4 linked regions of the Danio rerio genome follow. The protein of the gene in region 1 interacts with the protein of each later gene in a pairwise test. Links are inferred from orthologs where the notes say so. Each region holds a gene or a part of one and is shown in the gene's direction. Other genes may lie near its edges.

What was found. The genes of interacting proteins can lie anywhere in the genome.
Region 2: the proteins of git1 (region 1) and hmox2a interact in a two-hybrid assay, tested with the Homo sapiens proteins (2 studies listed by BioGRID and IntAct). The link is inferred for Danio rerio from reciprocal best matches to the Homo sapiens genes GIT1 and HMOX2.
Region 3: the proteins of git1 (region 1) and pfdn1 interact in binary tests that used the Homo sapiens proteins (3 or more experiments, as listed by UniProt). The link is inferred for Danio rerio from reciprocal best matches to the Homo sapiens genes GIT1 and PFDN1.
Region 4: the proteins of git1 (region 1) and lamtor5 interact in a two-hybrid assay, tested with the Homo sapiens proteins (2 studies listed by BioGRID and IntAct). The link is inferred for Danio rerio from reciprocal best matches to the Homo sapiens genes GIT1 and LAMTOR5.

What each region holds. Positions count from the first base shown.
Region 1 is NC_133190.1:30,937,948-30,944,627, reverse strand, and holds the end of git1 (ARF GTPase-activating protein GIT1), read left to right. Parts: intron 1-748; coding exon 749-913; intron 914-1,005; coding exon 1,006-1,069; intron 1,070-3,807; coding exon 3,808-4,023; 3' UTR 4,024-6,312; downstream 6,313-6,680. UniProt on the Homo sapiens protein: GTPase-activating protein for ADP ribosylation factor family members, including ARF1.
Region 2 is NC_133197.1:27,574,815-27,583,336, reverse strand, and holds the start of hmox2a (heme oxygenase 2a), read left to right. Parts: upstream 1-2,815; 5' UTR 2,816-2,880; exon of another isoform or gene 2,881-3,987; intron 3,988-4,064; exon of another isoform or gene 4,065-4,221; 5' UTR 4,222-4,256; coding exon 4,257-4,327; exon of another isoform or gene 4,328-4,332; intron 4,333-6,702; coding exon 6,703-6,820; intron 6,821-6,923; coding exon 6,924-7,415; intron 7,416-7,495; coding exon 7,496-7,619; intron 7,620-8,522.
Region 3 is NC_133196.1:32,808,937-32,817,416, reverse strand, and holds the start of pfdn1 (prefoldin subunit 1), read left to right. Parts: upstream 1-2,773; 5' UTR 2,774-2,786; coding exon 2,787-2,819; intron 2,820-5,720; coding exon 5,721-5,887; intron 5,888-5,966; coding exon 5,967-6,051; intron 6,052-8,480. Other genes in the region: hbegfb (heparin-binding EGF-like growth factor b), read left to right, coding at 1-37. UniProt on the Homo sapiens protein: Binds specifically to cytosolic chaperonin (c-CPN) and transfers target proteins to it. Binds to nascent polypeptide chain and promotes folding in an environment in which there are many competing pathways for nonnative proteins.
Region 4 is NC_133183.1:26,633,610-26,642,077, forward strand, and holds lamtor5 (ragulator complex protein LAMTOR5), read left to right. Parts: upstream 1-2,761; 5' UTR 2,762-2,887; coding exon 2,888-2,922; intron 2,923-3,012; coding exon 3,013-3,074; intron 3,075-3,700; coding exon 3,701-3,818; intron 3,819-6,260; coding exon 6,261-6,321; 3' UTR 6,322-6,841; downstream 6,842-8,468. UniProt on the Homo sapiens protein: As part of the Ragulator complex it is involved in amino acid sensing and activation of mTORC1, a signaling complex promoting cell growth in response to growth factors, energy levels, and amino acids.

The sequences.
Region 1 (6,680 bases):
TTAACAAACAAAAAATGAACAACTGTATTTTCATGAACTAACGTCAGTTAACAGGAACAAACAATGAACAATACATTCATTACAGTATTTGTTCATGTTAGTAAACATTAACTAACCTTATTTTTAAGTGTTATCATAATATGTTCGTTACTATTACTAGTAATTAGTTACTAGTTACTAATCTATTACTAGTTATAAAATAGCTAACATTATTAATTGTATTATGATTTTTTGGGAAGTATAACAACATTACCAAATTAATATTTTGTGTGTTATTATTATTATTTTATTGTAATTTGTTTTTACGTCAAGCAAAAATTGGTATTTATCATTTGTATAAATGTTTTTGTAATGCACATCTATTTGTGCATATTTATATTCGATAAATATTTGTAATATAATTTTTTGTACAATGGTGAAATAATATTATAATAAATATGTATTTTTTAAAAACAGTTACAATATGTAATATTAATAATAAAAAGAATGAATATTTAATGAAGCACAATAGTGACATAATTGTTTTTGTTTCTGATATTGTCTGAAAATATTTTACAGTAATATATCAATATTTTTCTTAGTTATTTATTGATTTTCATAAATACCTTAACTACTACTAACTTACTAATAGTAATAACTTAACTAGCTACTTAAAACTTAACTTGCTAAAGATTAAAGTCATTCCTTTAGCCTGTAAATCTGAGTGTTTTTATAGGTGAGTGATGATGTGTGTTATCTCCACTGTTAGTGTGGGCCGCAGCAGTGAGGAGGACAGCAGGGGGGATGTAGACGACACCGAGGGCGATCCTGACCCCACACTGCCCTGCACAGAGGACGTCATCCTTAAAACTGAACAGGTCACCAAAAACATCCAGGAGCTCCTGAGAGCTGCTCAAGAGTTCAAGCACGACAGGTCTGATGGACTCTTACCTGTCAAGCTGATTGCAGAGTTGCTTTTCTACAGTAAAAAAATAAACTTATTCTAACATTTGTCTTTGGTTGCAGTTTTGTGCCATGCTCAGAGAAAATCCACTTAGCTGTGACAGAAATGGCCTCGCTGTTTCCCAAGGTAAATAACTGCGGATTTTTCAAAATGTCCTAGGAAATTTAAGCATACTACTATGTTTTTGTTAGGCTACGTACACTATCCATACCCTAGCTCTTATCAAGAATCTGCTAAAAGATTAAGAGATATTTCATTGCAACTTTATCTAAGGTGAATACAAAAACAAGGTAAAAAGTAAAAGGCTACGGTCTATTTTTCCTTTTGTCTACAATAATTTCATGTTTATTGTTTTGTTTTGGGGGGTTTTGCAAAGTGAGTAAAAGTTAAAAAAATATCTGCTCGCTCACAATTAAATTGGAAAACAAAAACGAGACCAAAATCATTCACTATATGAAACCTATTATAATGCAATGACCTTTAATATACAATAACTTTGAACTCTTTAGAGTCTTTTCAGCAAAGAGTAACCTTTGTGCAAACGGTAGAGTCCAGCTACAATCCTGCTCCAACACACATGCCTCATAGTTTTCAAATAAGCCGGAATGACTTGATTATCTGGATCAGGTTTATTTAGTGTTGAACTTTGTTGGGTTGTGGCCCTTTAGGATCGGAGTTTGACACCCCTGCTGTAGGGCTTTTGTTTTATTTATTGAGAATAATATAGTTAAATGATATCACACAAGCAAGAGTGCCTGTGTTCTGAAGTATCAGTTTGAATGTGATCACAACTGTGGTATCGATTTTATATAACAGTCCAACAAAGATGAAGTTAGATAATGTTTTTTTCCTTTGCCAGTGAAAATATTTGTGTGGTGTTTCGTTTATGTAGGAATGTTTTTAAACGAATCACTTGAGTGAATGATCAAATCACAAACAGTTGCTTGCTTCATTTCTAAATGAATCACCCATTTAGAACAAATGGAGTTAAAGGTTCAGGACACCCTGGAGAACATTTTTTTTATATTAACAGATTTGTGTGTGTTGAGCATCAGTTAAGACAATGTTAGCACCTGTCAGCTTTAATTGTGGGGAAAACTGAATAATTTTGAGCTTTTGTAAGCTACAATCGCTCAAAATCGGCGACGTAGCGCAGTACTGCAAGTGCAATGATGACGGGTCGGTTTCTCATTATTATTCATAGCGGAGTTTTCTTATCCTATGAGAAGAGCCGGCTGCTTAATTATTCATGAGACCTGCCAGAGTCAAGCCCGCGCTGTGAGACACGTCACGGACCCACGGCACGGGCACACAGTATTTAGCCGTTCATGAAGGCTCATATGCGTTTGTTTCCATGATCCACGGGGTTTGTTGCATGTTTTCCCCCGCGATCTTGTCAGGGCCGATCATACAGCAAAGCTGTGTGTGTGCTGCAAGCATTTTTGTAGGGAGAGCAGGACGCTGTCTTTAATCAGGAATTCGTTCACATTCAGACACATCACTGTGCTGCTGTGTTTGCCTAAATCCTCCAGATTACCAGCAGGGCTAACGGTTAAAATAGACAGGTCAGGAGACCTGCTGCACTGAGTCTGCTGGATACGGGGATTGAGGGAGAAGTCCTCATTTATAGGGTTTACATGAACACACTTATCTTTATAATGATATAAATTGTGGTTATGTGTATATGAAATTACGAATAACATGTAGCAGGGCATTAAATCACTGTTCATTTCTTTGCGTTTTAACTTTGTAAACTATAAACTCATGCGTCTCCTCACGGTTTGTCTTAATTTGTAAGCTTGCTTCGTTCGCTCATGTTTTCCCCTGCTGGCCACGCCCACTCCTGCCCGATGCTCGCGGAGCTTTACGCCCATTAAACATGCATCTTTTGAAAAAATTCTGAAGTAGACTTTAACCGAAAGTGTGGGGTGTCATGGCCCTTTAATGATTCAGTGAATCACATAGCAGGACTCTGACTTGCAGCCATCTACTGGTGGTTTAAAGGTGCGTGTCCACCAAAGTCTGCAGAAGTTCTTTTTTCCCCAAATCTTGAGTGTTTTTTTTCCCTGCTGTTGTGAATGGAAACTTTGTATTTTTTAACATCAACAGCGCAATGAGGCTTTGAGGTTTGTGTGTTCTGTGGGTGCTGTGTTCACCAGGTGGCACATGTGAATAAATCACATTATTTGCGTGTAAATATTTTGAGCTTACTTGCTTCATTTGCGTGTCAAATTCACTTCACAATAGATGCGTATTTGTATCATGAGCAGGGCTTCTGTCTGCCCGGTGACTAGCATTGTTGCTAAATGGCTAACATGGATTTTATTGGGAAAGTAGCTGTGATTTAGGAAGGCTGAAGAGCAGCGTAATTTCGTTCAGCATCATGTCTTGTGCACTAGATCCTGATTTCAGAGGAGCACCCAATTCTCCCAGTTCATCAACTCCTCCAGAAACTATACCTGGATAATGGAAGCTTTCAGCTGTGCTTGGAACTTAGCCGAGCCCAGTTTGATGAACTGTTGTTCGGTGTCTGCAAGAGGATTTCCCCTCGGGACACCAACAACACTCACTACTACATAATCACGCCCCCATAAATAAAGGCTCTTGATTAACATGGCGCGAATGTCCGCTAATGTTCAGATTTTTTAAGTCAAGCGATTCATGCCTCAAACGAGCAAATCGCTCAACTCGCTATAGGACTACAGGACTATAGGACTTTTTGCTCAATAATGCACCTAGTTTAATCTAGGTTATTCTCTTATTGTTTTGCTAATGTACACACAAAAAAATGAGTTATACTTTTGGCTTAAAAATGTCAAACCAGATGCACTGAATCTCTATGTCCTCCTCTTTGTTTCCCTCAGAGACCAGCGCTGGATGCAGTACGTTCTTCCTTGAAGCTCCTGGCAGCAAGTGCGTCACGTTTGCAGGTGGAGTGTCGTAAAGCGGCGCCTTCGGACTCGTCGGCCAGTACAGTGGACTACCAGCTTCTTACCCAGCAGGTCATCCAGTGCGCATACGACATTGCCAAAGCCGCCAAGCAGCTGGTCACCATCACCACCCGCGAAAAAAAACAGTGACCCGTCCGGCACACTGGGCTCCATCGGGCAGGGGAAAAGACTGAGAAATGGGAGCAGACACTGAGTAAAAACTGACGGCTGGGAATCGTTAGTCAGGTGATGAAAAAAAAGTGCTATGAGGGAGCGAAGACGGAGTGATGAATCCAGCTCTGGGCATCTGGATGCAGAGATGTGGGAGAAGCCGAATGGAGCGGCCTGCTTTTCCTTGCACTCCTTTTCTTATATCTATATGGTTGAACACTACACAACAGAGGATTGATGGTCAGTGAGCGCATGGGCGGCTGCTGTTTGGTTCTTTTTGTGAAACACACAGGCACTCCTAACCTACAGAGAGCCAGAAATGTTCATTTGTTTTCAGTTTTCCATCTCCCTTTCGATTGATTTTTGTGTTTTTAAAGTGCCGCTCCATTGACTCGTTTCTCTTGGGACAAATGTATTGACTTGCGAAAACAACACACTGGAGTTATTTTAATGATTATGACTTCTGTTTCATATTATTGTTACTGTTATTGATGTCTTCTTTTGATTTTTTATTTTATTTTAATTTTTTTTGTCACACAGAGCTTTGCGAACATTAACGGGGTGAACAGTAACCTGTGAAAACTAACCGGAACACTCCCGTCCTCCAGTGATAGAAGCACTGGTTCACTCACACAGTGTTTTACTTCACTATTTTGTTTTAATCAAGGTGTGTTGTACACTAGCCAAAGGAGCAGAGGAGAGTGAAGACACTACAGTTGCGGATTCCTCTGTTTGTTTGTTGTTTGTCGTGTTTGAGCACAAAGACAGAAGTTGGGGTACAAAAACGGGGGCTCGTCCGGGATACGTCCCGGCTTTTCTCATCTCATTGCATCTCAATCCCTACGTTAGTGGGTTTGTTATCAGAACAATGCAAATGTGTTAGCACAATCATCACATTAGCTCATTAGTTTAGGACAAAACCACCCATTTCGGACACGATGTCTTTTACTTATTAGATTATCTGCACATGATTGACTTAATCGAATGGCCTTCATCAGTTTAGCAGAGACTCTTCTGGACCAGGCTTTTTTTTGTGTGTGTGGTTGGTTGTCCGTTTGAAAATATTTGATTTTGATTTCCTGCCGTTGTTTATTTTTCTTGTTTTTAATTTAGCACACATCTAATGTTTTTTTAATGTAAGAAGACCCTAATTATGTTTCATAAGCTACAATCATGTGAATGTTGATGGTTGAAGATGACCACTATCAATGTTCTCAACACTAACATTTCAGAGACAGTGACAGGGAAAAATACGGGATGTCCATCTGCTGCATCAGGACCAGTGAAGTCACATTCTGTGGTGGTAGATGGGGCAATCGGGGTTTCTTTTTTGTTGAATTGGGGCAAATGAGCACCTCGCTTTATGGATGTTCATGGGAGAGGAGTTAAACTGGAGCTTTCAGGATAAACGCACATACATGAACGTTTATCCGCCTGAGGCTTGATGCCACGTTTGTGTGCGAGCGTGATCAAATCAAGTATTTGTTGTACAGTTACTTTGCATTTTTAGATGTCATGCTATGAGCCTTAAACCTCCTTTTTTCCATATTGGTTTTACCCACCAGCCTTTTAAGTTAAGCCATTTTTTCATTCTTGCCTTTTGTTTCTTGAACTTGGGGAATGGGATATTCTTAGCGTCCCTAAAAACGTGTCAAAAAGATTGTCTGATCATTGCCTTTGCACATCTGCTAGACTGACTTTAATCCGCAATCAAGTGACTGGCGTCTCTCTCTTTCACACTAGAAGCACATGGTGAGTAAAATCAGTGTATGCATTGTTTATTTTTATTTTTTCTAGATTTTTAATTTCCCACTAAACATGTCACTGTTAGATGGTTTACTGTAATGATGCCTTGGGAGAAAGAGTTTGGGCCATTATTAAATAAGCACTAAATTCAGAGAGGATTATGGGAAAGGGAGTAATTGCACACACTAGGTCCAACTCTGATTCCTTTTGAAGTAGTTTGTAGGCATTTTCCCAGCAGTCCTGCTGCAGATGCATTCATTGTTCACGTAACGCACCAGTGGAATTATTTTTAAACCGACTAATTGACACTATTCTGTGATCAGTCATACTAGCTGCACCTACCTGTTAGGACTGTTCTTTATCACTCAGTTGTTCTTACTTGAGAGATTAGCTGATGGGTGAAATTCGTTTAGCAGAGGCTACCTGTAAAATATAGAAATTAAATAAAAGACTAAGCAAAACCATTTAAATCGTAATAAAGACTCATAAGCTGTACATTTGTAATAAACAAAACCGAAAGTTCATTGTGTCCTGTGTTTTTTTTTTTTATCAATGTGTTTTACACATTTGTGCAAATGCCAACATTAATCAAGGTTAAATCAACTTAAAAAAATTGTTTTGGCTCAAATCTTGGATTGAAAAATATATTGACAGTCTGACACAACTATGATAAATATGATGAACCTATGGATAAAAGGTCAACCAGGTGGCTACTGCCTGTTAAAGAGTAAGTGTTTTTTGAAATGTTAAATTTGAGCAGAAATGATATACAGAATAAGACCAATATTCAAAAGTAAAATAATGATAGTGAGTATTTATTTTGTCCGTTTGATTATTTTCGTCATAGGATGTATGCTGTTTCCTGTTTGCATTTTATTCAAAGGTTAAAT
Region 2 (8,522 bases), on another chromosome or scaffold:
ACAGCACAAAATAAAGAAGTCAAATTGGGCTTCAGCAGCACTTGAAGACATAAAAGAGCTAAGAAAGTGCCAAAGGTCTTTTCAATACTCGGACGTTTTGAGGAGGGAAAACGTCTTTGTTCCTTTGTTTAAATAGAGCGGCTTGTCTGGTGGTCCGATCTGAGGTGTATAAATAATAATGGTATTGTATCCTTATGTGCAGGTCACACATGCTCAATCAAACACATGGCAGGCTGCTCCCATATTCTCAAGAACACATTGACATTTCTCTATAAATAGGGGGAAGTACTTTAGACTGCTATACGCTTGAGGAAAACACGACTTCCCTAATAATGCAGTAGGCCTATATGCTGATAAAAGACTAAATGTGTCTGCCATATGAGCTTCCTACTAATGATAAGCATGAGTAGAAATCTTTTCCGTGTTATAAAAATATACGGGCCTCGCGCGAGAACATTAAGATCATATATGATATCAGTCTGTGCTGAGAGGTTTTAACAGCGAATTATGTTTTGTTAAGCATTTGTGGTCAAAAGTATAATTTCTGCCTCAAAACCAGGGTACGAGTTAAAGAGGGGTTTGGTTTGGAGGGGATTGACCCCCTTAATTAACACTTGATCTCTCCCTCATCAAGACAAGATGTATGGGGGGGGGGGGGGGGGTGTCAGCCCTTTAATACTGAAAAATAGTTTTCCCTTATCTGTATCTTAAATAATAGTATTAATATTTAAAATAATAGATATACGAATATACATTTGATCATCCCTATAATGGTCCATCCCACTATAGGGTTTCTTGCATAATGGCGCCAATAGGGTATATGCAGTGCAAGTGTTTCTTCCCATACTGATCAACTTCCGGTAACCTATCAATGTGACTTTTTTCCATTTTATACGGTTTCTTTTACAGCACTGATAACAGAATTTGGAATTCATTTAGTTGTTCAAGCATAAAACGAGATGAAAAGCCGTTTACAAGCACGTGCCTTTCAGGTTCAGCAAACTATCGCAGAAGGTCCATTAAATATTCTGGGGTAAAATAAATGTTCATATTTTAAAGACAAGAAAAATGTAATTTAATGCAGTGCTTCTTGTACATCCTGATACCCACTTTATATCAGATATCACTTAGGCAGTGGAAATAGCTGATTTTTGAAGAAAACAGACCTTAAACGCACCGATTTTGTCACGGCAAGAAGTTCACCGAAAGCACCTGACCCAGGTTACTGACAAATTAAAAGTAGTACTTCCGCATACTTCTGCGTAGTCTGTGCAATCATTCAGCAGTCTGAATCTGACAGATCTAAGCGGTCACGGGACACTTTTCTTGTGTTTGTATTTACATATAACCTAAAAGTAAAGCATAGCTTGAATATTTTGAAATAATAAGAGCTCAATGTATGTCAGGATACAGTAAATATCTCTCAAAACACTGAAAACTTCAATACCTCTTATATTGATTAATTTGATATCATTTAAAGAAATCGATCAATTTGATTCACTGAAAACTTACCAAAAAGTCAACCCCCTGATCGCGTAATTTGCACCCTGCTCACAACTTATAAAAAACAAATGTTTTCAGAAGAAAATGTTAACGTTAGTGCTGATACTTAGAGTAAAACTCACCGTCATGGCCTGAAATCTTCAATATGCTAAAGCCACTGATCTGTACAGCACTTTTTTGGCGCTTTCTATCCTCTCCCAAATCAAAATAAGCTATCGGTTTAGTCTAATGTTCCAGTTTTTATATAAAGTTCGGTGTGCTGGCGGTATTTAATTGTAGGCTGAATGAAAATCAATAAACAGGTGTTTTTAAAGGCCTTTTTTATCGTCCGCTACGTGATTCGAGATTATCTAGATTATACTGACCTCTACTGGTGATAGTGGAAATCGCTCCTGTCTTCAGACCATTTGAAATCTAAATAAAACGTCTAAATAAAACGTCAACGACAATCCAGTTTTTATATAAAGTTAGTTGTGTCGTCCATATTTATATGTAGGCTTAGTGATGAAAAACTGTACAAAAGCAGAGGTCCTTCTTGTTCTTATTGTCCGCTACGTGTTTCGAGATTATATAGATTTGACTGACCTCTACTGGTGATAGTGTAAATTGCATCTGTCTATAAACCAACTGAAATCTTAAAAAAGTTGATGTCAGCATATATTATGCATTTATATTATGTAATATCATATATAATATCATTGATCGTTTTTAAATAGTTTTTATTATTAGCCTATAATTAATTGATGTTATCAAATTTTCATCCATCTAAAAAGATTTTATTCATATAGGTAACTTTTTTATATACTTCAAATAAAGTAATTTAGAGCATTTTTTCAGATATTTACAACTATTCAGAGTATGTATATCTGCTTTATCTGCAAAAAGATTATAAATTAAACAATACCTCGCTATTTTTCACACATTAATTTTGTGTAGCGACGTTTAAATCATCAATGGAGAAGCAGTGAAGAATTTTATTTATCATTTATTATTATTATTATTATTATTATTATTATTATTATTCATTAATCTTTATTTATTAACAGTTGCCTAAATGCCAAGCATATAAATTACATTCAGAAAGATTAACATATACATAATTAAATATATATTAAATTAATTAATTCAACTAGGGAAAAAAATAATAAAACAAACAAACAAACCCAGGAATACACAATATAAACATAATATAAATGATACAAAAAAATCACAAAATTTTTATATAGATTTAATGTTTTAGCGCTGACTACGTTTGAGACAGTCACAGTACGCGTCATTCTACTTCCTGTTTAGAGTCTGGTGGTCTGGTTGGGTAAACATTATACAACGTGATGTGAACTGCAACGGGTTGCTTTACCTTAAACACTGCGAAATCAGGTAATATAAACGATTCTGCTTTCCATCGGTAAAAAAACAACCTGACAGGCATTGCCTGCATCTATATCACTGTATTAAATGTCATTACGGTTTTTAAATGTACGACTTTATTACACAAGTCAATGTCACGGGAGTGTTTGTTGTTTATGTGCGCTCATGACACAATGGATGTGAGTTACGCAATGAAAACAAGAGCTGTCGTTATTGAATTGTTGCAGTTGTTGTGTGGGGACATTCGAAAACACTTTACTTCAGCTTAACGTTACTTAATGTAGCTTAACAGCAAGCGGGGGAAACCATATTTCTATAAATTTTCACACACAAACAAGTGACAAACACTTATTTTAATGTCAATAAAATGAGCTCAATTTTATTAAGTGAAACTTATCACGTTATACGTTTCTCCCCATTATAAGTCCATTATAATAAAAGGAAAACGCTTAACATGGCTTAATGTACCTCAGTGGGGCACACCACAACACTACACTAACTACTATCAAAGGATCAAGCTCTGATTCTGTAGATGAAATGAACAATGTCACATTAATAATTTTATCCCCCATTTAAGTCCATTATAAGAGCTTAATGTGGTTTAACGTAACATCCAGAGATGATCAACTTTCTATAAAAATACACTCATAAACACTTACTGCTGTGAAAAGAACAAACTTTTATTTTAGTGTATCAAGTGAACATTATCACTTTAAGCATTCTCCAAGGTCCATTGTAAGAAAAAAGCTCGAGGTGGCTTAACGTACTTTTAACCCAGACCAGACAAGCATAAATATCTGTCAAACTTTACTTGTGATTACCTTAACTATTAATGAAAGAGCGGGCCTTAATTCCATAGATAAAGTGAACAATATCACAATAAGCGTTTTCTCCCCCATTCAAGTCCATAATAAGGAAAGGCGTAACTTTACAACAACTGAGGGAAACTAAATGTTAAAAAGGCTGTTCATCAAATTTTATTTATGATAGATTAACACTTGCTGTCAAAAGAATGTGCTTTTGCATGTCATTGACATCCCCACAACAGCCTAGGGAAAAACGCTTGACACAATATTGTTCACTTTAGCTGTGGAAACGGGGCTCGTTCTTTTGCTAGTAGTGTTAATCAGAGAAAACGCTTAACGTTATGTTTTTTACTTTATCTATGGAATTGATACTCCTCCTTTTTACAGTAGTTGGGGTTAATTACAAGTACAGTTTGACAGAAATTTGGGTTTCTCTGGTTGAAGTTTTGGTGCATTAAACCACGTTAAGCTTTTATTTCACGTTAAGTGTTTTAGAATGTCCTGTTGTGTGTGTTTTTTCTTATTTTCTTTATTTGTCAAGCAGAGAAGAGCCTGACAGAAATAACACAGACGCTGACGATGGCTGCAGATTCAGCAGTGTCCAATGGAGGAGAGAACATCCTCACTGACAGCGATGATGATATCCTGAAGTACTGTAATTACAGCTTTATTAGGAGAAACATTCACAGACCTAATAGAAACTAAACAGGCTTGCCAAGTTTACCAGTATCTGTTTTGAGCGTGCGTTTCTTATTGTGGTGAAGTTGGTTTTATATTTACACATTCAGACTTTCTCCTTAATAATTATAATGTAAGAAAAGTATTCTTTGCGATTTATACACAGGGAAATCATATTAGCCAATGACTATCAAAGTACAACATTGTTCACTGTCAAATATATAGTGCTAATGTTGTTTGAAGTCATAATTGCAAGTGATTTCAAATTGCATATTCAAAGTACCATGGTAAGCAATATAGGGAGCAGGTTACAAGTTGTCACTGAACAAATGTGCGCATATAAAACCGACTTTACCTTTACCAGTGCGTTTCTTAACATACTGAAAGTTAATGACAAAATGTCGTACATCAATTCTACATGTTACACAAGTAAAATTATGCAAACAAAACAACACACTAAGGATCCCACATTATCAGATATGCAAGTCTCTCCAAACACAGCAAACCTGCAAATAAATATCTACAGTGCTATTAGCTACTATTCAAAGAAAATATGAATATCTGATTGCGAATGCATCACTGTGCATTCACATCGAAGGCGGTGAGAGCATAAAAGTTCGCTCTGGCCGCAAAAGAACAAGAAGGCCGCACCGAACCACATCGAACAGTTGCTCATTACCATAAAGTTGACTTAATTTCAACTCTTCTCGACGCCCACATCAGTGAAGACGCGCCGCTCCTCACTGCTTATTGCTGCCATGTTCCATTGAAAATTATTGACTTCAGTCTACTTTGATACTCTCACCGCTTTCGGTGTGAACGCACTTATGCCAAACCATTGAGAGGGAAACCATGTTGAAACCACATGACCTACCAAATATACTACTACTACTATTATTATTATTATTATTATTATTATTATTATTAAGCCCCTAATTAAAAGTTGCTTTCGGCTGCGTCTAATGCATTAATCATTGTTCACATATATGACCAACAGTTGGATCATTGGGAATGCCACATGAAACTTAAGGCCCAACCCCAATTCTACCCCTTAGCCCTCCCCCTTACCCCTACCTCTCGTTTTGTGCATTCCCATAAAGGGGTAGGGGTGCCCCAATTCTCTTTAGCTTGAAGGCGTAGGGCTAAGGTGAAGGGCTAAACACCCCTTTGAACAGAGATTTTTCAGGACCACACTCGAAACCAAGGGGTAAGAAAATTTCCCAGAATACACCAGCCACAACAGCGGGATAGCTGCACCCGGAAGTCAGGAGATCCACAAATTATTATTTTTTTTTTGTCATTATTAAGAATTTTTACAATAAACAAGCACATGTTTTGATATATTCATAACCGCGTTTGTGTTTTACCGTCATGCTTTAAAAAAAAAAAATTAAATAAAAACTAATCTCTAATCCCTAATAATAACTCCTGTATAGGAGTCTCAAATCATTCTGACACTTGATAGCTCTGGAATACCCTGTCAGAAACGTCTAGTGGATGTTAATGTTGTTTTTATTGTGTTTACATAGATGAATAAGGCCACTGTGTAAATGCACAGTACAGTTACGATCTTATTGCCACATTAGATCGTTATGATAACTTAATATATGCCTTCAGTGATTTCCAGAAAAAAAAAACGCAACTGGAACAGCAGTCGCAATCATCTGATCTCATATGAAGCAAGAGATTGCGATGAAATGTGCAGGTGTTGTAGTGGTGTGCCATTTCTTAGGGGTAAATTTTAAAGCCCTTCCCCTTCAAACTCTGTTTCAATGAGAAGGGAAAGGGGTACAAAAATAAAATTAGGATTGGGCCTAGGTGTAATTAGTTTTTTTATGCACATGCTAGGATATACATACAGTGCTCAATGCAAATTGTGTCATCAGAATAGTAATGTTTGACCAATATAAATAGCAACAATTCAAAGCATGTGCATAATTTGTGCAGTTTGCTTTGAGTCATGTTTGCACTACTTAGTAAACTAGATGTCACAGAAAAAAACAACATAGGAGACGGAACAAAAACCGCAACAGCAAACTACTGAAGACTGCAAAAAATAAAATGGCTGCCAAGTGCATGGTTTTGAGAGAATAAAAGATGGATGTACAACATCATTAGCATTACCACACAGGACATGGTCCATGCCACTATTGAAAATTGCTTATTTGTTAGGATTTGAACGTTCTTCAAAGCATTTGGGATAATGCAAATACATAATTCAGCAAAATATATAACACTGCTGTGTGGTTTACATATTGTGTTCTTAAGACTCATACTTCAGCTATTGTTTGCTCCTACTTTGATACCAGTAGTGGAGGTAATATCTTTATAAATCTTCTGTTTTTAGTCCTAATGACCTGTCAGAAGTTTTGGCAGCAGGAACCAAAGAATCTCATGACAAAGCTGAGAATTCACCATTTGTCAAAGACTTCCTAAGGGGCCGAATTAAACGGGAACTTTTTAAGGTGAGTCTGTTGGTACTTTTGATGAATTACTTTTTTTTTGTTCAAAACTCCACTATTTTCTGACCTTTATACTTTTGCTATTTTGTCATTTTGTCAACCCCAGCTTGGCACCACTGCCCTGTACTATGTTTATTCTGCCATTGAGGAGGAGATTGAGAAGGTTAAGGACCACGCAGTGTTTGCCCCTCTATATTTCCCCTCTGAGCTTCACCGGCAAGAGGCCTTGGCCAAAGACCTGGCGTATTTCTATGGTGAAGACTGGGAGAGCCAGATCTCCTGCTCTGCTGCCACACAGCCCTATGTAGACCGCATACATGAGGTGGGTCGCGATGACCCGGTTCTTTTGGTGGCACACGCATGGACCCGTTACATGGGTGACCTATCAGGAGGGCAGATTTTAAAGAAAGTGGCTCAGCGGGCCCTAAAACTGCCCCCTACCGGTGAGGGCTTGAACTTCTACCATTTTGAGGGCATCCACAACCCCACAGCCTTCAAGAGGCTGTACCGCAGCCGGATGAACGAGCTGGAAGTGGATGCGGAGACCAAAGCCAAGCTGCTAGATGAAGCCAACCTGGCTTTTAAATTGAACTTGGACGTAAGAGGATATAATTTCCATTCACTGGTTGAGATAATCAGATGATTATTGTACTTTTACATCCTTTTATCTTCTGTCAGGTATTCACAGAGTTGCAGGAGATCGGGAAAGACATAGAAGAGGAAGTGCAGGACATTGGTCCCCATGCACATGGAGACATGGGTGGAGATATTAGTAAATGTCCATACTATGCTGCCAAAATGGGTAAGGACGTTGTTAGAAACAATATATATACATTGGAGATCAAAACTTGAGAACATTGGTTTCAGACACTTTAGATCGGCTCATCTTCTTGCTAAAGCCCCGGTCAGATCACACAAATTTGTCACGATTTTGGCTTGATTTCCTTGACATAGGATTTGTAAACAACAAATAGGCATTGTGACACAAGAATCAAATTGGCATAGTTCACAACAACCGATACCATGCCTGCGATGGTGTCGTTAGAAGTCTAGCATATTTGATTTTTCTCATTCTTCTCTACGAGTTCTGTCACGTGGGTGACACTGCAATAGGAGCACATCATTTTTCAGTTGTCTCAGCAGTTGCTGCCATTAATGCAGTTATAGTGGGTCATGGGTGGATAACCAATGATTGATCTTATGCAAACTTTAACTACTTTTTCTAAAATATAAAGGTGTTTTTCTTCTGACAGACTGACTTCATTCTCACAACGAGTTTCTGAGTTCTCACATCCTTCCAACAGAGTTTGTTCTTCTAAGGTAATCTGGGAACCTGTACAGTGCTGCGAATACATTGTAAAAGCCTGTCCTGTTATTCACTGTCATTAACAGTGAAAAGAGCTTAATATAGTCTTCTCTGTGACTATTTCACTTCAGTTTTATTTAGGCTAGATAATTATTTTTATAAACAAACCAACACAATCTCCTGGCAACTTTTGGTTCTGAAGCATATAGCGGACTTGTTTTGATGCACTTCACTTCAAAGGTTATTTATTGTTCTTGATTATAAGTATCTGACCAACAAAAGATACATTAAAATTAAGATAAATATTATAGCAAACAAAATTCATTTCAAAAAAATTTTTTTCCAAGAAAAATATATTAGTTATATTTTTGTTTGTGCCCCTCCACTACTCAGTTGTGC
Region 3 (8,480 bases), on another chromosome or scaffold:
AAAGGTCAAACTCGAGGCAACGTCAGTAAAACAGTGATAACGAAGGTAAATAGTTCTCTTTGAACTCCCAGATTTGTATGTTAATAATTTGTTTACATACGGACACACAAATTTACTTTAAAATTTATTTATATATATATATATATATATATATATATATATATATAACAGGGGGGCTAATAATTCTGACTTCAACTGTATTTGCTTGTTTAGATAGATAGATAGATAGATAGATAGAATTATGTATGTAACTATGTAATAATTGTGTAGTAATTTAGCTATTAACATACATTTTTTACTGTATTTCAAATGTTTTTATATTAAAAAGTCCACATAATTTATTATTTTTTACAGTAATGTTTTACATCTTATTAACTATATTTCCTATTTATTAACTATAATATTAACTCTAGTTATTTCTAGTTATTTTTTACAAATAAAGGAGTTAAAATTCTAAAACTTCTAAATGCCGTCTAAAATTTACTTCTAAACGGACTCTTGTGTGTGGGTTCAGTAATTTCACATGTATGTTGATGATTTCCATTGCATGTAAAGTGGAAAAACAGAAAATGAATATAGGAAGTGGAGAAAAATGCTTGTTTTTGAAAGACATTTGAGGTGTGATTTAGAGGTTTTTGCATCTGAACTCTCAAATATAAGTATGTATGCGTGTCTATGTGTTGTGTGTGTTTATATAGAGAGATTTAATTAGTTTTAAACATGTCTAAGTAGTTTTTGTTTACTTTTATAGTATAATATCTTGCTTTTATTAAAATAAATGAAAATTCCAAACATTTATATATACATTTTTAATAAATGTTTTTCAGGATAAAGAAAGCCAAAAGGTCATGTGACCCATGGATAGACAGCACTATACATCTCATCAAGGGCATGATTTCTGCATTATTCCTAGTGGTAATCATTATTTCTCCACAATCTTTGCACCTCTTCGTATTTGTTGTGCGCCCCTGATGTCCTGCAGTATTGGTGTCTGTCTAAACTGGCATGAAGGATGCTTTAAACACTGCCCCGTGTGCAGTACATGTACAGTACTGTCATGGAGATCATGCAGACAGGACTGAAAATGATGAATGTATCGCGACTTCAATCAAAGTTGCTTTTTTGTTCGTTGCTTATTTATTTATGTTGAAAAGCTGAGTTTCTGGTTTCTCCCATCAGTCTGAATCTGTAGTACTGTCAAAAACGCCACAAAGCACTTGTAATTATTTATTTATAATGTATTTGTTATTTATTTTGATACGTAACAATTGTGTGTACTGAATGCACTGCGAGTTTTGTAAATGTGTTTTTATTGTATAGATATTTATTATCGATGAATACAATCAATTAATGTTCTAATAGGACTGAAGTTGCATCGCAAACTTTACAATCGCATTCGGAGGACAGTACGGTTTGAATAATATTTTAGCTAAACTGTGAATTAAACATTTGCGAATGCAATCAAATAAATGTACTCTGCAGGAATGTCAGACGCAGGGCTTAAGCCTTTTTTATATGTATTACTGAGAAAGTGTAGCTTAAATTAAGTGAAATAAAATGGAATACGTTTATTAGTGTGTTTGTTTTATGCGTTTAGTATAAATTACATGATTTCATGTACTAATTTCAAGCAATGGTAACAAATTTCTGCTGTTTAATAAACTATTGTGACTTTCTAAGTGTCTCTTATTTTTGTTGAAAACCTGGGAAAGATTCATAAGTGGCACCGTATTTGTCACAACTAATTAATTCATTCATTTTACTTCGGCTTAGTCTCTTTATTTATCAGGGGTTTGCCCCAGTGGAATGAATCACTAACCAGCACATGTTTTACACAACAAATGCCCTAATAACTGCAACCCAGTACTGGACAAGATACATAAACACTCATTAAATTCACACACATACAGTACCAATTTAGTTTATTCAATTCACTGCATGTCTTTGAACTGTGGGGGAAACCGGCGCACCCTGAGGAAACCCACGCCAACATGGAGAGAACATGCAAACTCCAAAGAATTGCCCACTGACCCAGCTGGGACTCGAACCAGAGATCTTCTTGCTGTGAGAAGACAGTGCTATCCACTAAGCCACCGTGTCGTCCCACAACCAATAATAAAACTATTTTTATTATTTAGATTTACTATTTTTTATTTATAAAATTTTAGTGTGTCGGATATAAATCTGCAGATATACAGATGTATGTTGTAAAGTTTAAACACTCACTGTGTGAAGTTATAAAAATATTGTGTTGTCATTACTACATCTGATATACTTGTCTTTAGCTTGGAGATTTAAGTCTCAAGTTGGTTTACCATCATTTGTCTCCTGAGGAAACCAAACAGAGTGTTAACAGGAGTTAAAATGCAGAACATACACGACTTTACAATACAAAACAACACGTTAATAGTAATAAAAAAATCTTGAGCAATGTTGCCACTGGGGTGACACATTTTACATGTAGCACACAATAATAGACACTAAAAATAAGTCCGCTTAAAGTCCGCTTAAATTAAGAGTCAGCTTCTAAACATTTTGACGCTAACATTGGTATAACGCTGAAACCTTTATCATATACTGTCATTTCTGTTGCACTGTTTTGAGATTGAAAGTAGTCCACAAACTTACCGTGTCTGCAAAACTACCGAGCTGCCTTTTTAGTGAACATTTATTGTGGATTGCCTGCCTGTCTGACATTGAAAATGTTGTCTATGTAGGCCGCTCACTAGGTTTTGCAACAAGCTCTTTGTTTCGCGCATGCGCAGGGACTCGTACCACTTAGCATCATGGCGGCTCCCGTAGACCTCGAGTTGAAGAAGGTAAAGGGTGGTTTTTGGTTTTATATCTAAAAACCAAACAGAGTTGTTACTTTGTTATGATAAAATACTGAATAAATGTTATTAAGCTTTTGTGGAGCAGAAGTAAGGTATAAAACTGTTTAAGCAACGCGATCTGTCAGTGTGTAACGTAGGTGCATGCGAATCCTTTTAATGTGTATTGTTTGTTATAAAGATGTGCAACGTCATATTTATAGTTTACCACTGTAAATCCTTTAGAAATGAATATCCAAACACATATCAATCTATCAACACATCATTACATGCTATAGGAAGCTTTCAATATGGCTTATTCTTTAGTTTTTGCTTATCCATATATATATATATATATATATATATATATATATATATATATATATATATGACATAATTTGTTGAAATATAACTGTTACAGCTATAGGAAATGCTGGATTTGCTGTATTACATATGAATTTGATAAAAAATTTATTATTGTGCTGTCAAAAAGAGCTGTCAAATGTTTAATCATAATTAGTCACATGCAAAATAATATTTTTTATTTACAAAATATTTAGTGATGTCTATATTTATGTATATTTTATATATATTTATAGATTATATGTTGTGACTTTCTAAGTGTCTTATTTTTGTTCTAGAATTTATGTTGAAAACCTGGGAAAGATTTATTAGTGGCACCAAATTTGTCACAACTAATTCATTCATTCATTCATTTTACTTCGGCTTCTCTTTATTCATCAGGGGTCGCCACAGTGGAACGAATCGCCAACTTATCCAGCACATGTTTTACATAACGAATGCCCTACCAACTGCAACAACATATAACAACATATAAATTGTTTAAATATAACAGTTACAGCTATAGGAAATGCTGAATTTGCTGTATTACATATGAATGTGAAAAAAATGTTATTATTGTGCTGTCAAAAAGAGCTGTCAAATGTTTAATCGTAATTAGTAACATACAAAATAATATTTTTTATTATATCTATAGATGATTTATTATTATAAAAATACAGTTATATTTATGTATAATTAGTATTATATGCAAACATTAATGATAGATAATTATAAATAAACATTTTTTTTTAAATGAATGTGTATTAATATATTAATATATACATAAGATATTTTATTTGCATTCATTTTGCAATGCAATAATCACAATTACTCATTTGATGACACATACAAATTATAAATATAAAGCTTTTATAAATAGAAACAAAATCTGTGTTATTTCCAGGATATCTGTGGGGTCTTAAAAAGTCTTAAAATGTCTTAAATCTCAAAAACAAAATTTTAGGCCTTAAAAAGTATTAGATTTACTAAAATATTGTGTTGTAGGTCTTAAATATTTTTTAGCAGGTCTTAATTTTCCTATGTTCATGAATAACTACCCAATCTGGCCATTAACACTCAACAATCACCAACAATCCCAATCTCAATAAAACTTTTAACGTTTTATTTAAAAATAGCATTTAATTACTTTTCTCACAGTAACATTTGTTAAAAAGTACTCCACTTTATATACCGCTGTGGTTGCTGACCTGACCTACATTTTGTATTATTAAAATATTATTATTGTAGACGGAAGTAATTGACAGCTATGCTTTGTTCTATTCTTGGTAAGGGTTATAGGAAGGCCCACACGGAATCTGCGCATGCAAATTTCCGCAGACTTTTAGCCCATCATTGAGTCTATTTATTTACTTGTATAAATGTGTATAAAATTATATTTATTCAGTTTTAAATTGTTTTCAATAATATTATTGTGATATAACAATAGTAATATTAAAATGTTCATATGATGTATTTACAATTCAGTTTTTAGAGTAATATTTTCTGTCTTTTAGTGGATGTATTATGAGAAACTTGCTTTGTTTACTAAATACGTGGATCTAGTTGGATTTGCATTGTAAACATAAGAGCTAAAAAGCTGTTGCTTTTATTTCATGTATTAAGTTTTTAGTTATGACGCTATAACCATAATCATTCCACAAAAATCAGCTGTTTTATTTTTTTATTTTTTTATTTTACAAATTTCTCAGCAGAAATAGCAAAAATGTCAGCAGATTCTGTCTGGCCCTGATTATTGGGTTTGTAGATGAATATTTTTGAAAATTTATAAAAAAAATATTGAAACATAATATTTCCTGTATTCAATGTTAATATTTTTTTTATCTAGCAAGTGAAAATCTTTTCTAACTTGGATATAAAAAATCCTCAGCATTAAGTTCTGTATAAGTCTAAAATTGCATTCATAATGGTCTTAAAAATGTCTTAAAATGTCCTAAATTTAATTTTGTGAAACCTGCAGAACCCTGTATTTCATTCAGAAAACAAAAATCAATGTCATTTCCGCCAAATTTAGATTTTTTTTTAACTCATCAGAAGCGACGTGTTTTCTAAAACAGAATATAAACATGTATGCACGTTTTTTGCTATTTTATGCAAATTCAGGGAAAAAAATGAATAAAATTTTATTGTAAATTTACAGTTGAAGTCAGAATTATTAGCCCCCCTGTTAATTTTTTCCCCCAATTAAGCATAAAAGTTTTAATAGATCATTTCTAATAACGGATTTATTTTATCTCTGCCATGATGACAGTAAATAATATATTACTAGATATTTTTTAAGACACTACTATACAGCTTAAAGTGACATTTAAAATTTAAAAACTGCTTTTATTCTAGCCGAAATAAAACAAATAACACTTTTTCCAGAAGATAAAAATATTATCAAAGATGCTGTAAAAATGTTCTTGCTCTGTTAAACATCATTTGGAAAATATTTAAAAAAGAAAAAAAATCAAAGGGGGGCTAATAATTCTGACTTCAACTTTGTATTTGCATCATATCACAGCGGATTTCCTTCTAATCAAAACCTCAATCTCGGCATCTTTGCAGGCTTTTGCAGAGCTGCAGGCGAAAATGGTTGACACTCAGCAGAAGGTGAAGCTGGCAGACCTGCAGATCGAACAGCTGAGTCGTGTAAAGAAGCACGCAAATCTCACGCATGGAGAGATTACATCACTTCCTGAAAGCACTCGGATGTTTGAGGGAGCAGGACGGATGTATGTATAATTCTGGAGGTTTCAAATCTGGACCCTTTACTCTCTGTTGTTTTGACCTTCTCTTCCTTCCTTTATTCAGGTTTATTTTGCAGTCAAAAGGTGAGATCTCTAATCAGCTTTTGGAAAAGCAGAAGACGGCAGATGACAAGATAAAAGAGCTTGAGGTAGGTTATGAGCAAAAAAACAAATATAGTTGCTTATATTAAATCTACTTGTCCGACAAAGAACTGCTTATCAAAATACAAAGGATAGGTCACCTTATTTTAACATTTTTTACTTGCTGTTAAAAAAAATCTATGAAAGTCATAATTAAATAAGATATACACTCGGCGGCCACTTTATAAGGTACACCTTACAACTATCGGGTTGGAACCCCTTTTGCCTTCAGAACTGCTTTAATCCTCCAGGGCATAGATTCAACAAGATACTGGAAAATTTCTCAGAGGTTTTGGTTTATATACTGACATGATAGCATTATACAGTTGCTGCAGATTTGTCGGTTGCTTATCCATGATACCAATTTCCCGTGCCACCAAAGGTGCTCTGTTGGATTAAGATTGGGGGACTGTGGCCATCTGAGTAAAGTGAACTCATTGTCATGTTCAAGAAACCAGTCTGAGATGATTCATTTGACATGGCATGTTATCCTGCTGGCAGTAGCCATCAGAAGATTGGTACACTGAAGTCATAAAGGGATGGACATGGTCAGCAACAATACTCGGTCAGGCTGTGGTGTTGACATGATGCTCAATTGGTACTAATGGGCCCAAAGTGTGCGGAGAAAATATCCCCCACAACATTACACCACCACCACCAGCCTGAACTGTTGATACAAGGAAAAATAGATCCATGCTTTTATGTTTTTGATGCCAAATTCTGACCCTACCATCCAAGTGTTGCAGTGAAAATCGAGACTCATCAGACCAGGCAACATTTTTCTAATCTACATTTGCGCCCACAGAACTGCCGCTCACTGGATATTTTCTCTTTTTCGGACCATTCTTTATAAACAATAGAGATGGTTGTTTGTGGAATGCTCAGTAGATTAGGTTTCTGAAATACTCAGACCAGCACGTCTGGCACCAACAACCATGCCACGTTCAAGTAATTTAAATCACCTTTCGTCCCCATTTTGATGCTTGGTTTGAACTGCTGCAGGCTGATTAGAAAAACTTGTGATAACGAACAGTTGGATAAGTGTACCTATTAAAGTGGCCGGTGAGTATATATATATATATATATATATATATATATATATATATATATATATATATATATATATATATATATATATATATATATATATATATTTATATATAAGTATATAGAAGCTTCTGGTTTTTCTAGTCTTTTGTGTTCATCAAGAAAAAGAGATTAAAAAAAAATTGAAAGTGAGTAGATGATGCCAGAATTTTCCTTCTTTTATCATCTTAAAATTCTGAATGGATTGTAGTGTTTTTAGTATCCATCAGCTAGGAAAATGCTAATGAAAAGCATTAAATAATTAAATGCTAATGATAAACAGAACATTATCATGCATTAGTGTGGATGCAAAAGGTTTTTTTCTTTTAACAATAAAACTGTGGGTTGGGGGGGGCACGGTGGTCTCAGCAAGATGGTTGTTGGTTCGAGCCCTGAAGGTGTTTCTGTTTGCATGTGCTCTCCGTGTCTGCTTGGGTTTCCTCCACAGTCCTAAGCGTGCTGTATAGGTGAACTGAATACACTAAAATGGCCATAGAGTGTAAATAAGAGAGTGTGTAAGTGTTTCCCAGCGCTGAGGGTTGGGGATGGGCATCGGCAGGTAAAACAAATGCCAGAGTAACTGCAGTTCATTCAGTGGCGACCCCTGATAAAGCAGGAAATAAGCACATAGTTTGTACGCCACGCAGTATCAAAATCACAGCAATTATACTCTAATGTAATATCACAAGCTGCGTCACACATATAGGAGGTTTAACCTGATTGGTTAGAACACAGATAGACTTAGACAATCTCAACATGTGTGCGTAAAATTCTAAACAAAATCACCAATGATTACTTTGGCGACAAGCAAAGAAGTCTCCTCCGATGAAGAACACACACACACACACACACACACACACACACACACACACACAAAGAATGCTTATAGACTTCAAGGATGTCTTGTATCTTATCAGAATGGTACAATAAACATCTTTATACTGGCAGCTAACTAATACAAAGAAAGTCTCTCTCATACAATAGAATCTCAAAAGATTTGACAGGTTTTTGTTTTCATCAAAATCCAGTTTCATATGAGAGGTCGTAATGAATGAGCCTGAAGTTCCTGAGGAAAACGCATAACTTGGCATACAGAAATAACAACGAGACCCATATCATTCCAGTTTTACTTCAGTTTTCAGAGTTTATACTCATATTGCTTGACGCTTTTTGCAAGTTTGGCATCCTATCCTGGGAGAAAACCCTGAGCTTGGAGATGATTGAGCATGGCTCCTGCCTTGTCATTTAGCATAAATGGAGTCCAAGATTAGTTAGATCTCAAGAGCTCCCCCTGGTAAACAGAGGAAAAGGAGGAGATGGGGCGGAAGGGGTGATTCTTCCATAACAAAGA
Region 4 (8,468 bases), on another chromosome or scaffold:
GTAAACTCCACTATTGGTAGATATAATAGAGTTGTTTGACTGAAACAATGACTCCACATGCAATAAATTTCAAATAAAAGAATAATATATATATTAGCCTTTATATCATAATTATCATTTTATTCAATACTTTATTTATTCAAACACATCTTCAGAACTAAAAGGAAAAAGTTCAATTTGTGCGCATAATACTGGTCTGTCCAACTATCAAGAGCGTAGAATTGGCATGGACAGAGGGGACATTGCCTCACCAATTACTGAAATGTCCCCACCAATAATTTAATAGCCTTCAAAATAAAATAATGCTCTGTCAAGCCTTAGTAACCTAAATGTGCTTAAAGAGTTAAATTCATACAGATAATAGGAATAAAATTGTTACATTTTGTCACATGCCTCTCTAAATTTCTGTACATTCATACCTCCTCAAACCAGATTACAGTAAAATCATGTCAATTGACTTTTGCAGCATAGAATTATTATTATTGTTATTTGTATTATTAGGTGTTTAAATGTTTTTAAAAGCATGAAACAGAATTTGTGCTGTTTAATACATTGGCTCTAGGGATGTACGTCTCCACCAATATCAAGAGCCTATGTGTTACTGTGTGTGTCAGAGAGACACAAAACCTTTTTACAGCTCTATAGATAATATTTGTTCTCATGTAGATGCTTGAAAAAAATGATCCAATATATGTATATACAGTATTTTTAAAAACATTTTCAATTACAGTTTTTCTTGTTTGCTTTGACCTGGTTAAAGAAACTAGGTTCTACTTCATTTTCATTATCATTATCACTATCCCAGCAAGTGCAGAAGACAGGTCTTGCAAATGTTTAAACCCTTTCTCATTGGGTTGACACATTTTCCGCACCATTTTTCAAAAAAGTTAACACGGATGTCATTCAAGCATTCCAAACTCCATTGTTTTAGCTATGGTAACCAAACAGAAACCATCTATTCCTAACCATTAGAAACTACCAAGATCAGTATGAATTCACTGAAAGCACCGGTTTGACACACCTTCACACAAATCTTCATTTAGCAATCAGTCTGCAAACATTAAAAATGGTAGAAGGTCTGTGTTGTTCTGTGCCTGCATGGATGGAGGAGGTCAATAGTGGCTATGTCCTACTCACAATAGATTTGACTGTATATTGGTTTACATGTTTTCTCTAATATTTACAGTATTTTATTACTTTTGTCTGTTTTTTTAACAGTATTTCAGTTTTAAGCCACAGTTTGAAAAAATGTCATGAATTCAACATAAATTTAATAAAGGCATTTCTTATTCTGGATCCAATTCTTTGCAAAAAGGCAGCCCAAATAAAAAGACAACAAATGGCATTGGCAATAGGTTACAATGGCAAGCAATGGTGCACTGATTCACACTGAGGTCTGTATTTTGTATTTTGTTGTTCATTGTGTAATGGTTAATTGAAAGAGCTCATATACTTGTTAGCAAGTTGTGTTGTTTGAAGGTTAAAATAGCTTTTGTTGCATATTTTAAATGTTTTGACACGGCATGTGCATTTTGCAACCAAAATGTGTTATTTTGACCATGAGTGCCGCTGTTTAGGCCTGTGTTTTAACTGTTTTAAAAATGTGGAGTTTCAGTTGACGGCTGCATGAAAGCAATCCAAGGAAAACTGTAAAATAAATTAAGCAAAATATCTTATTAAAAGACTTAAACTGCACAAAAATCAGTAGTCTAAAAATCCATATATATTTAAATGTATATATATACCCACACGCAAAAATAATAATATTGTAATGAAACTATATTTATAAAAATAAATCGATCATCAATAGACAGAAGTTAAGGAATTAAATTAACCCTATAAAAATGATATTCATCAAATATAAGGCTGCATCCAGTCAGGAAAGATTAAACTGTTCTGATGGGCTCTAGAGAGGCAGAAACAGGCAGCTATTATTCTGCCAGCTTATTTGCATGTATATTGACTTTGCTAACCTGATTCATGCTTTGCACTTTGCACAACTTGTGTAATAGTATATTTTATAATATGCTTCGCATATAGTTAAGCAAACATATAGTTAATGGATGTGACAGAGAAAAAATGTGTCTCATGTCAAACCCGGCTCTTAAACCAACCTCACAAACTATAAAAGAGAGTGCTTCAATATCTTGAGTTAAAAATGGAAAAGACTGTCTGATAAAGAGCTTGAGCTCAGACACAATTGACGGTGGTCTTTTATTGTGCGTCTGGTCAGGGGACAAGGTCATTTAGAGAGATACCAACACCGAAGATTCACACGTTCCTCTGGGAGTTCTCATTGACAATGCCAGCTAAATGTTAACCACATGTAGCCTACTTGCTTTTTAGAGCATTGAATGGTTTGTAAAGAATTTATTATTTGTTCAACATAAAAACGAGGATATAGAAGATCTAGACTCTGAATTATAGGTGATCAGTCAATAGCAGTGCTGCAGGAACATTCATTTATTCCAACAGCTGCATATTAATAAATTCAAGCTTTTCATTTTGGTTCAGAAATAGTCACTCTTCTACTTAGCATTTATTTCTCCTGTGGGACTTGTGGTATAATTGGTATTCTTTTGAGAATGTCTTGTGTGTTCATTTTAGTTTAATTAAAATGTTTAACCCAAAAAATTATATTGTATGACTGACTACTTGTCGAGGTTTAGCAGCAAACAAAAGAGGACCATTTACCTACCATCCTGACTTGAGTAAGATGGCGCTAGATCCTATTTGCTTGTTGTCCCTTAGAGGGCGCCGTAGTGTTAAGTCGCGTGTTAAACTGTCAGCTGACATCCCGGAAGTTATCCAAGTAACAAACATCGCTGCCAGTTTCTGAACATTTCGTGTTTCTTATTAGTTTAATAGCCTTATTTAGGACGCTGTTATGGAGGGTGCACTGGAGCAGCATCTTGACGATACGTATGTTTAAAAAGAAACCACTTTCTTTTCTTACGCATGTAACGTTACTCGTTTTGCGTCTTCATTTACTGATCTCCTTTCTCACTCTAGGATGAAAAATCCAGCTATTGTTGGGGTTTTGTGCACAGACGCTCAAGGACATAATCTAGGGTGTAAGTAATTTTTATATTTTCCTTAATACTTCCCTTAGTATAGTTTTCCTCTGGTGACCATGATTTGCTTGGTTTACATGTACTGGGTTTTCACTTGCAACAAGAGGTTAATATTGCTTTTAATATTTACACATGTGTTGAAGGTATGTAAAACGTTTTGAATTTTTATTAGTTTGATTTGTTTCTCAAAACAGGGAACGGGTGTCTACTGTGGACAACTTTATAACTGTGTTATTGACCAACTTAAAGTTAACTGAAACAATGGTAAACAAAAAAACATGGTTAACTGGGAGAAAATACAAGCCTATTCAAATGTAATTATGCAAAAAAAATGTAAAGTAAAATTAAATGATGTATAGATATAGTTTGAGTAGTAAAATCTATAATGGCATGTGTAGTATTAAAAATATTAATCTGATAAATTAATTCAACTTGAGCATTTTAAGCCTGCTTTTTCAGTGTATTACCATGTGCAAAACAATATACAATTTAAAACTTTTCAACAAAATATAGGGTTATAGAATTGTGCTTTATATAGATTCTCAGTTGACTCTTTTCCATTTGGTTTCCAGAACTTGAAAATATACTGTAATTCTCAATGACATTACAAATATTTTAATCTCCAGGCCGGGGCTCACTATCTGATGAACATGGAGGAGTTGTATCTGTACTGGCCAAGCAGGCTGCTTCTCTAACCAAAGATGCCACCGACTGTCCTACAGTGTGCCTGGAGTCTGACTGTGGGTAAGGAAAGCTTCTTGACCAGCATCTGTCTTATTTCTATGTATCTTGAGAATTTTTTGATTTGAGAGACAACAAAACAATCTGCAGAAATCGATGACATTAATTAAGAAAGTTAAATGAGGGAAAGTCAGTTAAACAACAATCTTTGAAAGTCATTCATCCCATTATACCTTCCCTCTTCCACACACACCAGTTGTCACTAAAGTGTATATATAGTGACGTGTAATAAGTATTGAAACTATCAAATTGGCGTGTGACTTTCTCAGAAAGTATTCCATTCATTTTAATTCATCAAGGATTAATATTTTGTGCTGGTCATTTGGTTGCTTTAGAACTGTCTTGGATCAATATCACTCAAAACCACCAATAGATGGCGGCAAGTCTTAATGAGTGATTCATTGAATCATTGATATTTGTAGTATGGATATAATTATAGAGAGGCATATGATTTCTTATGAGTTTTTGGGGGTTTATTATTTTAAAAAAAGCACTATTATCAAGTAAATGTTTTTAAGTAATGGTTAATTTTTTGCCACTATCATTATGGATATTCAATCAAAAGTAATGAAAGCAATGGAACCATTTCAATATAATGCATGGCATATGTATTACTAATTAATAGATGTAATTCATCTTTTTTTAAAGTTAATGCGGATGGGTTTAAACAAAGTAAATCAATTGATTTTAACATTATAATTCCTGTACACAGTAGTTAATAAAGATTGAACATTTAACTAAACGGTTTTAAAAATGTCTGCACAGCCACAAATTTGTTGGCAATATGCTAAAAGAATGTAACTTGCCATTAAACAAGAACAACGAAAAAATAAAAGGCGCTCTTTTTTTTTTTTTTTTTAGCATTAATTTCTCACCCATGACTTGTGGAATTGCTATTCTTTTGAGAATGTCTTGTGTGTTTATGGTTGGCAGATTCTTAAGTTGACTGAACTTGCCACCAGCTGTGATTTTTAGAAACTGATATACCTGGAGTAAGCACCGTCTGACCTGGGATAGGGAAGAGCAGGGCACAAAGTAACACTTTTTGGTTTTGGCCAAATAATGAACAAAGTAATGGGCTTAGACAAACCATTTTTTGTACCAACAACACACAAACTGTCTCCTACAGTTTCTGTGCAGTATTGCCAAAAGTGCCAGGAGCAAAAATGTTACTATTTGCCCCAGCAGTGGGGCACGTTGTAACAAACAGAGGGTAAGTTGTAACGCATGCTTACAAAGGCAGATTCCACACAGTTAATTTAATTTCTGTTTACTTTAAATAGTAGCTATATTTCCTCAGTACTTGGCTCAATTTATTTTGTGTTATACATAGCACAGCATGTTTATTTACTTATTTATCCACTTAATGAACACATTTGGATTTTTTTTTTGCATTATTATAAAATGCGTTTATTTGCATTATTAGCAATAAAACTAATTTTTTCTATTAAAAAATATATATTTTCTATAAAAAAATCATGTTTATTTAAAAAGTTCTCAACATTACATTATCAAAAATAAAAAATAAAAATATTCAGTTAGTTTAATTGGTGTCCAACAGTGTGTGGCTTAATTGTAACACCCTGTTACAACTAACCCTGCTGTGTCGTGTTTTCTTCAAAACTGACTAGCAGTCACTGTCTTTTTACATCTTTCAAAATGGTTTCATCTTTTAGCCTAGAAGATGGTAATCACAGCAATATAAGATTTTTTCGTACATGCTTTCACAGATGTTTTTTTAAGTAAAACAAATTTGCTGTAATAAAAAATACTGCAAACTGCTGGAAAAATGGTTTCTGTGTTTCTCGTCCAATTTTCAACAAACTTTTTCAATAATTGGCAGGAAGATGTCTGCCGACGCTGTGGTGAAAATTTTGGAAGCATGCCATGGTTAACCCTGAGCAAAAACCTTAAAATTGTTACATTTTACCCCACGTTACTTTGTGCCCCGCACTCCCCTTATCTATTTAGAGTTCTGGGTATATGTGATTGTAAGTTAGCCTTGCTTTCTGGAATACCCCTCTGTTTTGCTCTGGCTTTGTATATAACTACTTTTGCTGGTGAAAGGGCAAGAAAAGCAGGCAGTATTATGTTATGTCTGAAATGTAACTTAATTTTAGCTTTGTACACAAAAATCAATATCTATTTGTGATCATGCCTATGCACTGACATTTAGGTAAATGGCACTGTGACTTGTGTGCTATTACCCAAGCAACTCGTTTGTTATAATAAAAAAAAACAGAACAATATTTTTGGCTTTCATAACAGCATATTGAGTCAATCTAAATGCATTCTGACAGGCTTCACTGTGTAGTGAATGCTTTTGGTATCTCAAGATGTGTTTTAATTGTAGTTTTGCTAACCAGGTGATAATCTCAAATCAAACAGCAGCTAATTTTAATCTTAAGTATTAAATGGGAATTCTATGTCATTCTGTCATTGCAGGAACATCTTGGTGAGAAGACATGGAACAATTACACTGGCTGTGCATAAGATGGCATCGTGAAATCTGTTGGTCTAAGTTTTTTCAATTTTAAAGATCATTAGTATGCGTTTGATAAGCTTCTGCTGTCAATTGTCGAAACATAGAAGCTCTATGGGTGTGTGAAATCTTGTCTTCCATCATATCAGAAATCGTCAGATGTTTGTTGTCAGTGTTTAATCTAATTTATTTTCCTATATTATTACTTTCTTTCAACCATAAAGCACACTTTAAATGTCTTCACTGCTTTTTTGTTCAAACAGTGAATAAATGCATTAAGGAAATTCACGTGGTTGAGTCTCTGTGGTTGCACAGTTAAGAGAGTTTTAGTTGAAGTAACACAGTGTGTTCAAAAGGGGGCAGCAATTGTAATTGAATCACCTTTAAGAGTATCTATGGTGAGTAACAGTTTATATACATGAATAACAATTAAAAATCAAATGTCGAGACAGATCAACCCTTCAAATTAATTATCATCATCATCTTGGTCAGTAACTACCAATAATAAAAGCTGTGTAATGTAAACTAGTAAAGCAATTTTTTTTAATGAATAACAAATTCAAATTATATTATATTTATATTGTATTATATTTTAGATTGCATTGGTTTGTTGTGTGCAAATAGATGCAGGCAATTATTTTTGTGTGTGTCACTTGTTTGCCTTGGATAACTCGTTCTGCAATAAAGCATATGAGGAAAATTTGAGGGAACTCGGGGTTCCTGAATTTTTTATCAGTCACTCAGACCTGTCATAAAGTGTTCTTCTGAATGCATGTGATGACTCTGGATAACAGTTAACAGCAAAATACCTTAGCTCAGATCTTGACTGTAAAAGGTTCATCATTTTCACTCTAGGGTCAATATAGTTAATCAACCAAGTCTTAATTTTTCCAAAAATTACACCAAGTACGCAGCATGAATGCCAAAAGAAGAAATTGTTTCCCCCTCAATTATTTTGATATATTGTATCTTGAATGCATTGAAATGTTTTGTATGATCTGAATGTGTAAAAATAAAGTACCAAAATAGTACTGAGAGCATGGGGATGCAACATAATCACCATTGTAGTAAATGTTTAACTTGATATTTTTGCATATTGAAATGCCATTAACAAATGTTCAAGCTTACAAAATTTATGAATAGCAGCTCTAAACAGTCGATTAGTTTTTTCCTCAAGCAAAACGAGTGCAGTTTGTGTGCACTTTAATTAAAACACACGTTTTTATTAGTGCCTTTAGGGATTTGTCAAACATTAGAGATACTACCTGAATACCTAAACATTCATAATTTGACCTTGAAGCAACAAAGCTTGGTGCTTTTTACCTCTTTCGAATAGCCACAGTCCAGGAAAACCTCTGAAATTAGTTCCACTTCAATACTTGGCTTGTAGGTTCCGGTCACATGGTCAATAAGTGCACTAGCGGCAGGTCGTTGGCTCTGCACAACCTGAGCGCATTGCATCCAATCTGTGCCGGTCCCAGGGGTCTGAAGTGACCCCCCCGAGACACTCAGACTGGGGGCCAAATTTTCAGAAAACATAAGAAATCAAACGCAGGGAGTCCAGCCATGTTCACGAATGACTTTGATAAGACTTGCCGCCTCAGAGGAGGAGCTGTCATCGGGAAATCCAAGGATGTTGCCCGCAGCTCAAGTGCCGGAGCGCGCATGAGGAATCATCCACACCAAATCAAGTCTTAACAAGTGAAATCTGGAATAAACTGACTTGACTTTTAGTGTTTCGAGAAATATGGTAAGTCTCGTCTCCACCCTAATGTTTACGTTTATGAAATGTTCGAATATTTACATAATTAATTTGCTCGTTTGCAGACAATTTTGCGTTGTAGTATTAATTTTGTAGCTTATATTATTTTTTCCAGACTAAGCTTGTCATTTCTTTCACAAACTACTGTTTTTTTTTTTGTTGGATGTTAATTTTAAAAGCTGATTTAAAAAATAATTGTTGGAAAATGGATGACAAAAACAAAGTTTAAACTTTTAAAAGCTTGAAGTTGAAGTTAAATAAAATAAATATATCGATTAATCACTGCTTTCTCAAGATAACAGTTCTTTGAAACTTTTGTGTGAATTAAATTTGTATTCTGCTTATTTACTAGCCTGTCAGATGTGTTTACTTTTAAAACTAGTTTAATAGCTGAATCACAGTAAGCTTG